Caenorhabditis elegans: one gene and its partner. The protein of the gene in region 1 purifies or fractionates together with the protein of each later gene. This does not show direct contact. Each region holds a gene or a part of one and is shown on either strand. Other genes may lie near its edges.

The links. Proteins that work in one complex are often made in the same cells at the same time.
Region 2: the proteins of cyn-7 (region 1) and ned-8 purify together in Caenorhabditis elegans (affinity purification with mass spectrometry; 2 studies listed by BioGRID, with this or other methods). This does not show direct contact.

The regions. Positions count from the first base shown.
Region 1 is NC_003283.11:15,183,860-15,190,651, forward strand, and holds cyn-7 (Peptidyl-prolyl cis-trans isomerase 7), read right to left. Parts: upstream 3,520-6,792; 5' UTR 3,502-3,519; coding exon 3,433-3,501; intron 3,385-3,432; coding exon 3,133-3,384; intron 3,019-3,132; coding exon 2,824-3,018; 3' UTR 2,723-2,823; downstream 1-2,722. Other genes in the region: fbxa-84 (F-box domain-containing protein), read left to right, coding at 1-182; Y75B12B.1 (Mos1 transposase HTH domain-containing protein), read left to right, coding at 850-1,146, 1,192-1,412, 1,459-1,549; Y75B12B.3 (Transposase), read right to left, coding at 2,067-2,114, 2,165-2,401; bath-36 (BTB and MATH domain-containing protein 36), read left to right, coding at 4,615-4,721, 4,782-5,353, 5,403-5,686; cyn-3 (Peptidyl-prolyl cis-trans isomerase 3), read left to right, coding at 6,093-6,161, 6,212-6,463, 6,774-6,792. UniProt on the Caenorhabditis elegans protein: PPIases accelerate the folding of proteins. It catalyzes the cis-trans isomerization of proline imidic peptide bonds in oligopeptides.
Region 2 is NC_003279.8:10,370,638-10,376,885, reverse strand, and holds ned-8 (Ubiquitin-like protein NEDD8), read left to right. Parts: upstream 1-3,023; 5' UTR 3,024-3,026; coding exon 3,027-3,113; intron 3,114-3,181; coding exon 3,182-3,328; 3' UTR 3,329-3,513; downstream 3,514-6,248. Other genes in the region: hpo-35 (PB1 domain-containing protein), read right to left, coding at 166-231, 644-894, 942-1,350, 1,406-1,500, 1,730-1,829, 1,876-1,935, 1,989-2,072; sptf-1 (Specificity protein transcription factor 1), read right to left, coding at 5,359-5,385, 5,596-5,723. UniProt on the Caenorhabditis elegans protein: Ubiquitin-like protein which plays an important role in cell cycle control and embryogenesis. Covalent attachment to its substrates requires prior activation by the E1 complex uba-3-ula-1 and linkage to the E2 enzyme ubc-12.

The sequences.
Region 1 (6,792 bases):
CCCACTTCCAGTACGCTAAACTTTTCTTCCCGGAAAACCGATCTACGGAGCTTGCAAGAGTGTTCGACCCGAAATATGAAGGCCCGTTGAGTGGATCAATCAATTACCAAGCGTGTGATGCAAATTTTATAATTGATTTTAGTCCACATCACTTTGAGATTAAGAAAATTTTTCATACTTAAATTTTTTGTTCGGAATCCCCCAATGGAAAACTTTAAATTATTCTAAAAGGCCTTAAAAACTGGTAAATAACAAATAAATGAAATATTTATTTTTTCTTCAGGAAAAATGATGAAAAACAAGCTGGAAGGCGTGGCAAAAATCCGGAAGAAAACATGTTTTGCATATTCGCGTCAAATAGAGTGTTCAGTCTGCAGTTGCACATGTTCTTGTCTACAGTAGTATGAGAGCGCGTGTGGCTAATCCGCCCATTTTTGCAAGCGCCGCACGCTTTTTCTGCAACCACGCGTCACGTGGCACGGTTCAAACATAGTTTTTCGAAACTCGAACCTTGCAAATACTTTTTCTTTTCCTAGAAATGTGTTTCTTTTGTTAGATTTTTTTTTTCAAAACATCGGAAAACGGAAAATTTTTGTTGTTCGGTTTAAAAAATCAGAACTTTTTTTTTTCAGAAAAGAAATTTGATCAGATCTATATAATTTTGACCTATCCGTAGATCAAATAAGTTTATTCTGCGCGCGGTAAAAATTGAATTCTTTTTCGTTTCTTTTCTCCTTTGTCCCAAATTTGGTCCAGCTCTAACTTTTTTTCTCTTTCCCTGGTTTTCCCATGTTTCCCTTCCATTTTGCACTATGTATTACGCTTTTCATTAATTTTCATTTTCAGATTATGGCTTCTTCCTTGCGTACTGATCCAGCCTTCCTTCGCACATGTGTTCTCTACGAGGTGTTCAAGCTGAACACATTTTCTCAGGGATTCGCTAACTTCTGCAGCACGTTCGGAAACGACATCATGCATAATCGGGAATTCGAGTTCTGGCACAGACGTTTTTACGACGGAAATCACGATTTGGGTCTTGAGATCAGCTCACAAAATGCCATTGACCACGAGCTCGAACGTGCAAAGAATGGGCAAATCCTGAGATCGGATCCGTCACGTTCTGAGAAGAAAGCAAAGCACTTGGAGGTTTAAAAAATTTCAAATTTCTCGATTAACTCCTTTACTTTTCAGTTCATTACTTCTCCTCTGTGCAAAGATCCGGAATTCGTTCGTTCTTGCGTCCTCTACGAAGTTTTCAGTCTGAAAGACTCTACCCAAGGATACAAAGATTTCTGCGATGCTCTCGGAAACGAGTCTATGGGCGTCAGAGAGTTCGACTTCTGGTGGAATCGATTCTACAATGGTGATCATGATTTGTGTCTCGATATGACTGCCGCAGTCACTTTGGGAAGGCAAATATATAATAAGCTTCATCAAAATAAATTGTTAGTTTTGTAGCTCCGGACAAGACGATGGCTTCACAAATGATGGAGAGGCTGAAGAGACTTCGCAGCTTCAACGTGTTTCTGGAGATTCTGTGGAATGGTAGGGTTCTGGGGTTGAATGCCCTAATAATTGAGAATTTCCAGAAATACTTGCAAATTTATGATGATTACGGTGATTTTTCGGATGAGGAGGAGCACGTGCTGAAGATGTGCAAATTCGGAGAGCCTGCTATCAGAGAGTTCATTGTCGCGAACTTTTCGGCTGAAGAGATCGTCGATTTCAGATCTCAAGTATGTTTTCAAAAAGCCTTCTCACAATAAATGTTCCAATTTTCAGCTTCACGATAATCTGGAAGAATACGAAGAGAAGAACAAGCCATCTCTCATCAAAAAGCTCGTCGGAAAGATAAAAGGGATCGGCGCTCGGAGAGATGATGACTCGGATTCCGAAGAGGATTCGGAAGAGAGCTCCGACGAGGACTAAAATCATTCTTGTGTACAACCCAAACCTACTAACCCGCACATTATTTTCTGAAATAGCTTGCCACAATTGTAAATAAATATTAGCGCCTGTAATACTCTTGTAACTGGAAGAAAGTTCATTTAAGAAAATATCAAAAATTAGAACAACTTCTTGAATGGATTTCCTTGTTGCCCGCCGAGTTTGCTCTGAAAATGGAGAGACTACTGGAGCTTTATTAAAAAGGTATTCAACTAACCAAGTTCTCAATCTTCGCCTGAAGCTCGACGATTTTCTTCTGCAAGTTGTCCAAATCACCACGAGACTCCTTCAATTTCTCCAAATTCTCCGACTTTTGCTCATCCGAAACTTCCGGATTGTTGACCTGCTGCTCATACAACTGTTTGGCCGATTCATAACCAGACTTGCTCGATTCATAGATCTTCTTAATGTTCTCCAATCGAAGTTTTTCATTATTAAGAATCTCGGGAAACATTTCTAGGAATCTGACAAGTGAGAATAACCAAAAGAATGTGAAGAGCTGGCAACAATGCCTACATTTTATGCTCGAAATCTGAATATTTGCACAATTTACAGCTTTTCCTCTAACAATTCCATTTTATGTGTTTACTCTTCACGAGTCAACAGAGTTCGAACGGTTGTCTGAAATTCAGGATAGAATGCGCAGAGATTGGAACAAAATGACGGAAATCGACGCTTTCAATCGCTTCTACAATGTTACAGTTCTCTCCAAGCTGTTGAGAACAATTCACGAAGGCTTCCTCGAGTACGACCCATGTAACTGAACAACTATATTCTTTTCGAGCAATTTATTGATGATCAAGATGAAAAAGTGAAGCAATAAACAGGGTTGGATGGGGTGATTGAAAAGAAGAAAAGTTCTCACGGAGAACAAATTTAGAGCTGTCCGCAGTCGGCGATGAGGCACTCGGACTTTGGAGTTCCGGAGCTGCTTCCGTTGCCCTCGACCTTGCTGACGATGTCCAATCCTTCGACGACACGTCCGAAAACGACGTGCTTTCCGTCGAGCCAGGCAGTCTTGACGGTGCAGAGGAAGAATTGAGATCCGTTGGTGTTTGGTCCAGCGTTAGCCTGAAGAAAAACAATGAAACTTATCAGCCAGTGGATAACAGTTAAGAAACTAGATAATGCTTCTTTTCTATCAGTTTATGCTGTCTTTCAATCTGGCTAGGCAACATAACTTACCATGGAAAGGACTCCTGGTCCGGTGTGCTTCTCCTTGAAGTTCTCGTCTGGGAACTTCTCTCCGTAGATGGATTCTCCTCCAGTTCCGTTCCCGCGGGTGAAGTCTCCTCCCTGGATCATGAATTCTGGGATGATACGATGGAACTTGGATCCCTTGAAGTGGAGTGGCTTTCCGGACTTTCCGACTCCCTTCTCACCAGTGCAAAGAGCACGGAAGTTCTCAGCGGTTTTTGGAACAATATCGTTGTAGAGCTGAAAATAAGATTTAATTTCATGAAAAAAGATCAGTGTTTTGTTTACCTCCATAACGATACGTCCGGTTGGTTTTCCGGCGATGGTGATGTCGAAGAAGACTCTTGGGCGGCTCATTTTCAGGTAGGGTAATCACTAAAATGCTTGAGTTATAGTTGAGAAATATGTATGAGATAGGTATATCTACAGAGGTGCGGCAAACACGCTCTGCGGTAATAGAGCGGGAATCAATCAAAGTTAAAAATATAAACAAAGCACCATAAGATACAAGGAAGAAGCACACGGATGAGCTATATACTGAAATGGAGTGAATTAGCGCACTAAAACAGAAAATTTTAGGCCCAACTAAATTAATTTTCCTGTTGGGCCTAAAATCTGCCGAAAGACGTGATTCAACAAGGATTAAACGACAGTTGCACATCAAAAAAGTTCTTAAATAATTTTCAATTGATTTTAATTCATTTTAATAAGCGAAACTATAAAAATTCTGACAAAATCAACAAATTAGGCGACGAAAGAGAGAAGAAATGAGCCGTTCGCTTCTAGAATTTTCCGACGTAAACAACAAAGTCCGCAAAAGTGTCTGCGTACCCGACACCCAATCATACGACATGCGCCATATCTGACGACACTTTCGCTGTGTTTCCCGCCTTTTGTCAACACTTTCACCGTGCGCCTGTGTTTTCAAATGATCGTACACAAAACAACAGAACGGCGCCGAAATTGATAACAATTTTTGTAGGCAATAAAAGATTACATTGAAAAACCGGTCATTGATATCAGTTCGATCATCACCACGGTCTTCACGAAAAGAAGGAGAAATATCGAGATGATTTAACATTGAGAAACATTGAGAACATTTTAAATTGCTAAATAGATCACAAATTAATCCAACAGTTTTTCATTTTGTTGAATGCTTTCGAGATCGATTGAGCTAAATATGAAGCTCTGCATGTGACGGGTATCTGCGAAGCGGTTCGTCAAGATTAGCTTTGCTTATCCGCTAAAAAATAATCTTTTCGTACAAGGACAAAATAAAATCTGCACAAAATACATCGTGATGTGCTAAAAATGGTTAATGTGAAAGTCCTAGAAATAGACCAATAAACTTTATAAATTTTGACTGGTCTCGAAGCCATTTAGTGTACTGTAGGTGAGAGCATTGCTCAGCTTAAATTGTTTGTTTCAAATTCTTCTTCATTGTTCAAATTAAATTTATCACAAGATAAAATGTCTGGAAAAGACAATAAAGGATCAATTCGTTTTGAGATTCAAAATTTTTCTGGCTTGGCGAAGGCGACGGAGCACAAACCAGTGCAAATTGGACACGTAGAATGGTTAGTGAATTTTAATGAAACAAAAAATGTTCTAAATTATTTAAAATATTATCTTTTAAGGATTCTTGGAGCATTCACAAGCACTTCCGACGCTACGAACAATGCTAAACATCTCGGAATTCACCTGAAATGCAACGAGGAACTGCGCAGCAACTTGTGGTCCTGCGATGCGTCAATTCGTTTTTCACTTCTGAGACTCAATTCAAACGAGGATGATGACGCGTTTTCGATGGAGTTTCAGCAAAAGTTCGACGACTTGAACAAGATTGTGGTGGTCAACAATTTTAAAAATTGGGAGGAAGCCATCTGCTACGATAATCGATTTGTGCTCGATAAGCATGCCGTTCTTGAAGTCCAAATTACTGTCAACAAGATTGCCGGAATTCATGAGAGGATTATCGAGACTTTCGATCAACCCAAGGAACATCTTACCGATGTTGTGCTGGTGCTTGAAGGAAAACATGTCCATGTTGGCAAGCAAGTGCTCGCAACGAGCTCGCAATTCTTCCAAAAAATGTTCTATTCGAATTTCGCCGAAAAGACACAGGCTGAGATCAAAATCGATGATGTGACCCACTCTGAGTTTATCGATTTGCTCAATGTGATCTACCCCACTCACATGCTCATTAATAGTAAGTTCTTTTTTTTATTTGAGGCTTGGAATTATTAACGGATTTTCAGGTTCCAACGTGTCTCACTTGCTCAAGCTGAGCGATAGATTCGCGGTGCCAAGAGTTCTGGAAAAGGCTGAAACGTTTTTGATTTTGGACCAAAAGACCCACTTGATCGACAAGCTGAAGTTCGCCGAAGTCTACAGACTCTCAAGGCTTCAAAATGCATGCCTTTCGCAATTGGAGACCAGCGAAGATGTTACTGCGTTGAAGCATCACGAAAATTATAAATCTCTCGATCATATAACCTACAATGCGTTGCTTCAGAAGCTCATTGATCTTTTGGAAGATTAGCTCCAAGCTTTGTTGAATTTGTTGTTGATAAATTCTGTTGTTGATTTCAGTTTTCAAAACTGCAGATTATTTTTTGTTAAGGAGAAGGTAAAAATACCGCGAAGAACTGTTAATTTTTGATTGGTTAAAAAACTCAAATTTAAACTACCACCAAAAAGAAGAATGTAAGCACGCTCTGCTGATGAAAGAAAACCTTATTCAAACTTCGCGGTCTCACAAATTATCAACGGAGCGAACATTCTGACCCCGCCCACAAATCGAAATTTCTCTGCCGCTCTCCATTTCGGTCCCATTTTTTGAATTTTCATGCGAATTCACTGTTTTTTATTCAGATTTTTTATCGATTTTCGTTTAAATTATGTAATTTTTATGATTTTTCAGTAATTTCCCTATTCTTGCCTCAACAATGAGCCGCTCAAAGGTCTTTTTCGACATCACCATCGGTGGTAAGGCTTCCGGACGTATCGTCATGGAGGTTTGTGAAATTTTGGCTATTTTCATCTTCAATAAATAAATTTTTTACAGCTTTACGATGACGTTGTCCCAAAGACCGCCGGTAATTTCCGCGCTCTCTGCACCGGAGAAAATGGAATCGGAAAGTCTGGAAAGCCACTCCACTTCAAGGGATCCAAGTTTCATCGCATCATCCCGAACTTCATGATCCAGGGAGGAGACTTCACCCGCGGAAACGGAACTGGAGGAGAATCCATCTACGGAGAGAAGTTCCCAGACGAGAACTTCAAGGAGAAGCACACCGGACCAGGAGTCCTCTCCATGGTAAGCAAATCGTCAGCTGAATCTGTTTGAAGTTCGAGAAAATGTTTTTTTCTGCTCAATTTGGGAAAAATATCACTGTTTGTTCTCCGAAAAGAGGGAAAACTGAAGATTTCTAAATGTTGCTTTTCCGGAAATTGTCGTATCTGTGAGAGACGCAGACATATCTCACAGCACGTTGTGTGTAGGATGGAGTGCTGAGCCGTTGTTAGGAGAAATTGAATGATTTATGAGAAAGAGCAGCTGAATGTATCAGTCTCAAAAAATATCAGAATTTTTGTCTGTCTCGAAAGTAATATTTTCAACATTTCAGGCTAATGCTGGACCAAACA
Region 2 (6,248 bases), on another chromosome or scaffold:
AACGGTTTGCATTAATTATTGTTTTTTTTTATATTTGTTAAAATTTGAGTGCTTGTAAACGAAAAACTAGCAATTTAAAAACTTTCCTAAAACTAGTATTACTCATATGCGAGAATCCAGAGTCTAAAGTGCTTTGAATTTGTTTTTTTTTGAAGATTGAATTACCATGAGTTCTTCCTTCAAAAGTTTTTCCATTCGCGGCGAATAATCGGAAGAAATATCACAGGGAGCCTGAAAAGGATTCAACTTTAACTATCTCTGTTTCAAAAACATTATATATATATATATATATATTACCCCGACACGAAATTTTGCAATGTCTAAGCTTAAAATATGGTACTCGGTCTCGCCAAGACAAATTTTCGTTAACCTCAAAAAGGTGTGCGCCTTTAAAGAGTACTGTGACTTCAAATTTGTATAGACTTTTTATAGTTTAAAAAAAATGATTTATTGAAATTTGTGTTTTAATTGTTTTATTTTGGGATTTCAATAAATCAATTATTTTTAAATGAAAATCTATGGAAATTGAATGTTTGAATTTACAGTACTCTTTAAAGGCGCATGTCGCTTGGCGAGACCGGGTCCCGCATTTTTTAAAGTGTACAATCTCATGTCTTGGTAATATCAGACAACAAATTCTTACATATCTCGACAAAATTCTATTATAATAATGGAGAAGACCGGTTCCCAGACTATGAGCGAGAAGAGCCACAGTATCTTCGTGTACTTTCTCATTATATGGGAATGAGGGATTCCAGACGTCTCGAACGAGTTGTTCGGCTATCAGTGTTGGAGCTGAATCCATCGACTTTTTGGATAAAGTATCAGATAGAATATTTTTAACGTGATGGTATGCTTGTGATTCTGTCCATTGACGGTTGGAAAGTGGGGATTCTGAAAATGGACAAAAAATATTTTTTAAATTTCAGTATTTACTATACTTTTAGCAGGTGAAGCGAGTGGATCTCCAATACGTATCAATCGATGTTTCACCTCTGTATCCTGTTGCTGACCGGTTTGACCACGTGGTTTGGGCTCTACAAAAGCTTCTTTCAATGGTATCTTGTCGCTAACAATCATTGGAGCTGTATAATCAGTTAGAATTGGCGCAATTCGAGATTCATCATCATCGTCATATTCTTCACCTTCTTCATCTTCATATTCTTCCTCGTCCTGACTAATTTCTTCAGAATCACAATTTTCATCTTCAACATGAGACACTTCTTCGTCCTCCGTTGAATCATACTGTTCAGAGTCTCCATCTATCGGAGTAGCTCCTCCATTTGGAACTCGCTTCTCCATTTTGTGGCTTTTGCTCTGTGGCGTAACATTCCATACGTAATCTTGATTCTGAAATTTAAAAAAATTAAATTAGATTACATTCTGATAGATTTGAAACTTTTACCTCTACGTACAGAAATGCAGTAGGATCATTATGAACATGGCGAATAAATGTGTGAAGCTGTCCAGTAGTTGTGATTGGCACGTACAAACCATTGACTGAAAATTGTCTAGCTTTACAAAGAAAAAAATTTATTCAGAAACAAAAGGGACCTCGAATACTGCCTGAAAGCTGCAGTTTCTCAAAATTTGCAAACAACAGTTGAAGTACTTTTCTATCTTTCTATATAAATTTTCGATTAAAACTTCTACAAAACTATGAGAAACTTTAACTTCGAATTTTTGTCTGAAAATTCGCTCCGAAATGGGATTTTTTTGAGAAAATTACCAGAATAATGCAAAGAAACAGTTTCGTCGTTGGAAATTGTAGCCAAATAGTTGTATACATCCTCGTATGTAACTTCCACATTCGAACGATACAACATTCTCTGAAAAGAAATGAATAAATCTTGAACTATCAGATATTTAATTTACTTCTCGAACATAGAAGGTGAACTTTTTCTTTGGAGTTCCAACGTACATGTAGCTGATTGCCTGAAAGGGTTGATTTTAATGTTGTTGGACTCGAAATCTTCAGAAATACTTACGACAATGTGGTCGTTTTTGTTCTTTTGACGTTTTCGCGCATTGCCTGATGATTTAGGCAGTTGTGACATTACCATAGTAGGCATTTCGGCTGAAATTTAGTTTATTAAGTGGAAGCATTAATTTCAATTTATGAAAAGGATAGAGAAATGTCATTTAAGCAAGAAAATCGAAGGCTCTTTGGAACGCTTTATGGAAGAGTGCAAGTTCGGCCACAAGGCCAATGTCTATTTATTTTCTGCTCAATGAGTGCTCATTAATGGGCTTATAATAGTAGTTATGATGGCCGTTATGAATGGTGAAATAATTTATTTAATTTCATGTTTGGGTTTGTGTTTTGTTCTATTTCACCCCAATTTTTTGAGTAATGTAAATATAATTTCTAAATAGTGTTCCGTGATTCATGAATGATATTTTAATTCTCCTATCCACAAATCTGTTTAATTTTCATTATTATATCACATTCGACCAGTAGGAAATATGAAAATCGATAACTAGTGTTTAGGATGAACCTAACTGAACTTCCTAGGAGATCAGAACGCGCAGTATTTGTAAGAAATCGATTTGTTCTTGATACGCTGAGCGCATTTGTTCGAGAAAGGTACTTCATTCGCTTTTCTTTCGTCTTGACGAACGGTGAGCAATTTTCTATCTCATTTCTTGAATTTTTCTTCTTCTTTTCTCAATAATATATTTCATAGCTATGAGAACTTTTAATACTTCAAACAAAATAGATTTCGGACTAAGACTGAAATTAAAAATGAAAATAATATTATAAAAACAAAAATAAATATTAACAAAAAATAACTGCGTAGTAAGCTGCTGCGTCTCTCATATTCTCATGCTCTCTCGTTCGTTCTCGCGTTCCAAATGCGCTCTACCGGACCCCTCTCATCATTCTTCGAATTTTGTTCTTTTTTTCAAGTTTAGAGTTAAATCCATTGTTTTTGAATCACTTTTTATCTGTTAACGCAGTATTTTGAAAATTTTATGTTAATTTTCACCTAATATTCGCTATTTATCGTCTCAGTTTACAGAAAATGCTCATCAAAGTTAAAACCTTGACTGGAAAGGAAATTGAGCTGGACATCGAACCAAATGATCGAGTCGAGAGAATCAAAGAAAAGGTAACATACTTTAACTTCCATTTTAGCTAAATTTTATCTCGAAATATCCAACGAAAATTATTTTGCAGGTCGAAGAAAAAGAAGGAATCCCACCACCCCAACAGCGTCTCATTTTCGCCGGAAAGCAAATGAACGACGACAAGACAGCAGCAGATTACAAGGTTCTCGGTGGATCTGTTCTTCATCTGGTTCTTGCTCTCCGCGGAGGATTTTAAGAAAATGTATTCATATAAAATGTAAACTCCCGTCTGAATTGAGCCCGCTCCAAATAGAAACGAGTCACAGTCCCGAATGTCCCGTTTTTATGTCCAATCTCTCCAACTTTCAATATTTATTGTTACATCAGTTCTTTAAATCATATTCCTCATTTTATTTTCTGTGTTCAAATAAATAATGCATTCTTGATCTCGTGATGCTATTATTTTAAAATTAAAAGCAGTCCTGCCCTGAACGCAACGGCGAAACAATTAGTGCTTCTCATTGACAATTTTCTCCTCATTGAAAAGGAATATTAAAAAAAATCTCGGTAACTCTTAAAAATGTTTTTCATTTATTAGAAAGAAATTGATGAAAATAACACTATGGTAACAAAAAATCCTGAGAATTCGTATTACGCAACAAATGAGTACTGTAGCACTGCTGACGATTTACGGAAATCATTTATTAATCGATAAAATATTAGAATAAAAAAATGAAAAAAATAATACGGAGAAATTCATTTCGAAAATCGAGCCCGTAAATCGACACAAGCGCTACAGTAGTAATTCAAAGAATTACTGTAGTTTTCGCTACGAGATATTTTGCGCGTCAAATATGTTGTTCAATACGCATTCTCAGAATTTCGTGTTCCCGTAATAGATGGGTCTCATCGCGAGCAAAAAAGTTTGGTAACGCTGGTTGTACTTTCTTCTCAATTTTGATTGTCTCAAAATCACAGTTTTTCATTCGAATATGAGCGCAAAAGATTGGAATATATTTATCCGTCACTGGATGTCTTGTTACTCGAATTGTATGCTTCAATATCTTAAGTTTGAACATCCAGACATCAGTGACTTGCCTATTATTATGAATCTACCTAAGCATAAAATTGGACCACAAAAGTTCGAAATAACTCGTATTGATGGAATTAAGGCAGAGTGTAACGTCGTTGAATCCATGGATGGTTTCTTCACCTTCACAATGCAAACAATTTAATATCCCAATTTTACAATCTCCGTCCACAATGCGTAAATGAAGCGTCGATGTCATTCATGAAAGTGATCGAAAAAAGCAGCATGCCATTCTAATAATGTGTTAGTGTTTTCTAATCTTGTTCATACCTAACACATATTGCACGACATCTGTTTTCCCCAGTTCCAAAATTCGTGTAAAATACCATTCCCATTTTTGTAAATCGTAATATCATCTCCTCACTCCCATCTGTTTCCCCTTGCATTCATCTTTTTTCTATAAAATATTTACCGTATTTTTTCCAATTTACCATATTATCTTAAACATCTTCCGAAAATTAGTACTGTACTCCTTAATAATCTTGCGTTTAATTTTTTGTTTGGTGCAATCCCGCTTCACTAATTTTTAAGAGTTACCGAGATTTTTGTTTCCTGTTTTTAAACAATTTTCTCAAGTTTATAAAAATTGAAGTTATTGAACTTTTTGTTACAGTTATGATCAAAATGTTAACATCTCCAAATGAAAAATTGAGTTCTTTCAAGTAAAAATTAATAAGCCCAACACAAATAGTATAACAATCATAGAAGAAATACGGTTGTTATATTAAGTGCAAATCGAAAATGTATCCATATAAGATGGTGCCATATCAGCCATATCGGCTCTCGTTCAGATCACTTAAACTCAGAACTATGATGACGAAAATATGTTTTCTAAAATTTTCATTTCATTGGTAAATCGAAAGAACTGCATAACCTGAGGATAGCCTTCGTAAAATAGAATTTTGAAATAAAATACCCCGGTCTTGCTTATTGGTATGTCGTGAAGATTTCTGAAAAATTGTATTGCAGCCATACCAATAGACAAAATACGGCAGTTATATTGCATGTAAATGGATGAATTCTATATATTTTAGACCACAATTGTTTATTTCAGACAGGATGGAAAAATATATTCACAATAGACCAGAGACAGAAGAGAGAAGATCAAGAGGAAATAAAATAGAAATATCAAATAAAGAAAGTTAATTTATTTTGAATGAGATATGTGAAGAGATACGGAAACATGGACGATGTAGTCATGAGCTGTCACCGGAGCGTTTCTTCTTAAAAAAAACAGAATTATGATAATTGCCAGATTAATTTTTGGTTGTGAATGACGCAACGCATTGGACAATGATAATAAACTGGATTAGGAAAAGATTCAAATATAATAATTACAAAAAAAAACAATCACTCTACAAGCTAATGCGAGTTCACCTTCAATTCCTTGACAATCTTCGGATACAATCTCCTGATTATACGGGCTTCCTTACCATTTGACGTTCACCAGAATGCCATCTTAAATGTGCTTTCAAGTGACTGCTCTTATTATAAACTTTTCCACATCCAGCAATATGACAATTATGAACTCCTCGCTTACGTGCTGCAATTGCATTGGGTCCTGAAACGAATGAGATATTGAATTTCGATGGAATGAAAATTTTGTTTCCTATGCTAGTATTAACTGAAATTATTGAACATGACAAAAATGTTCAAAAATTAGTTTTTGGCTGTTATTCCAAAAATTAAAGTTTATGGTAGAACTTGTTGTACTTCAAGTACATACTAGGAGCATTTTCCAGTCTTTATCGATTTTCAGAAAAATGTTCCCGTATTTTAGTAGTTATTCTTGAATGGTAAAGACTATTGAATTATCTCAATTATATAATTGTTTTTCTTGCGGTAAGACCCATTCAAGTAAAGCCATGTTTTTTTAAACAAAACTCAGAAAATGACCAAGCTACAATTTGTTCAAATAAAAAATCAAAATAAATTTCAAAGTGAAAAAATTGCTCTTTTCTTTAAAAGTGCCCCACCCCCCCCCCCCCCCTATTTCCTATCATCATTCATCATTCATCTTACACCTTCTGACAGTTTCTTAAAGATCTTAATCATCTTAATTTCCTTTTTTGTACGGCTATTGATA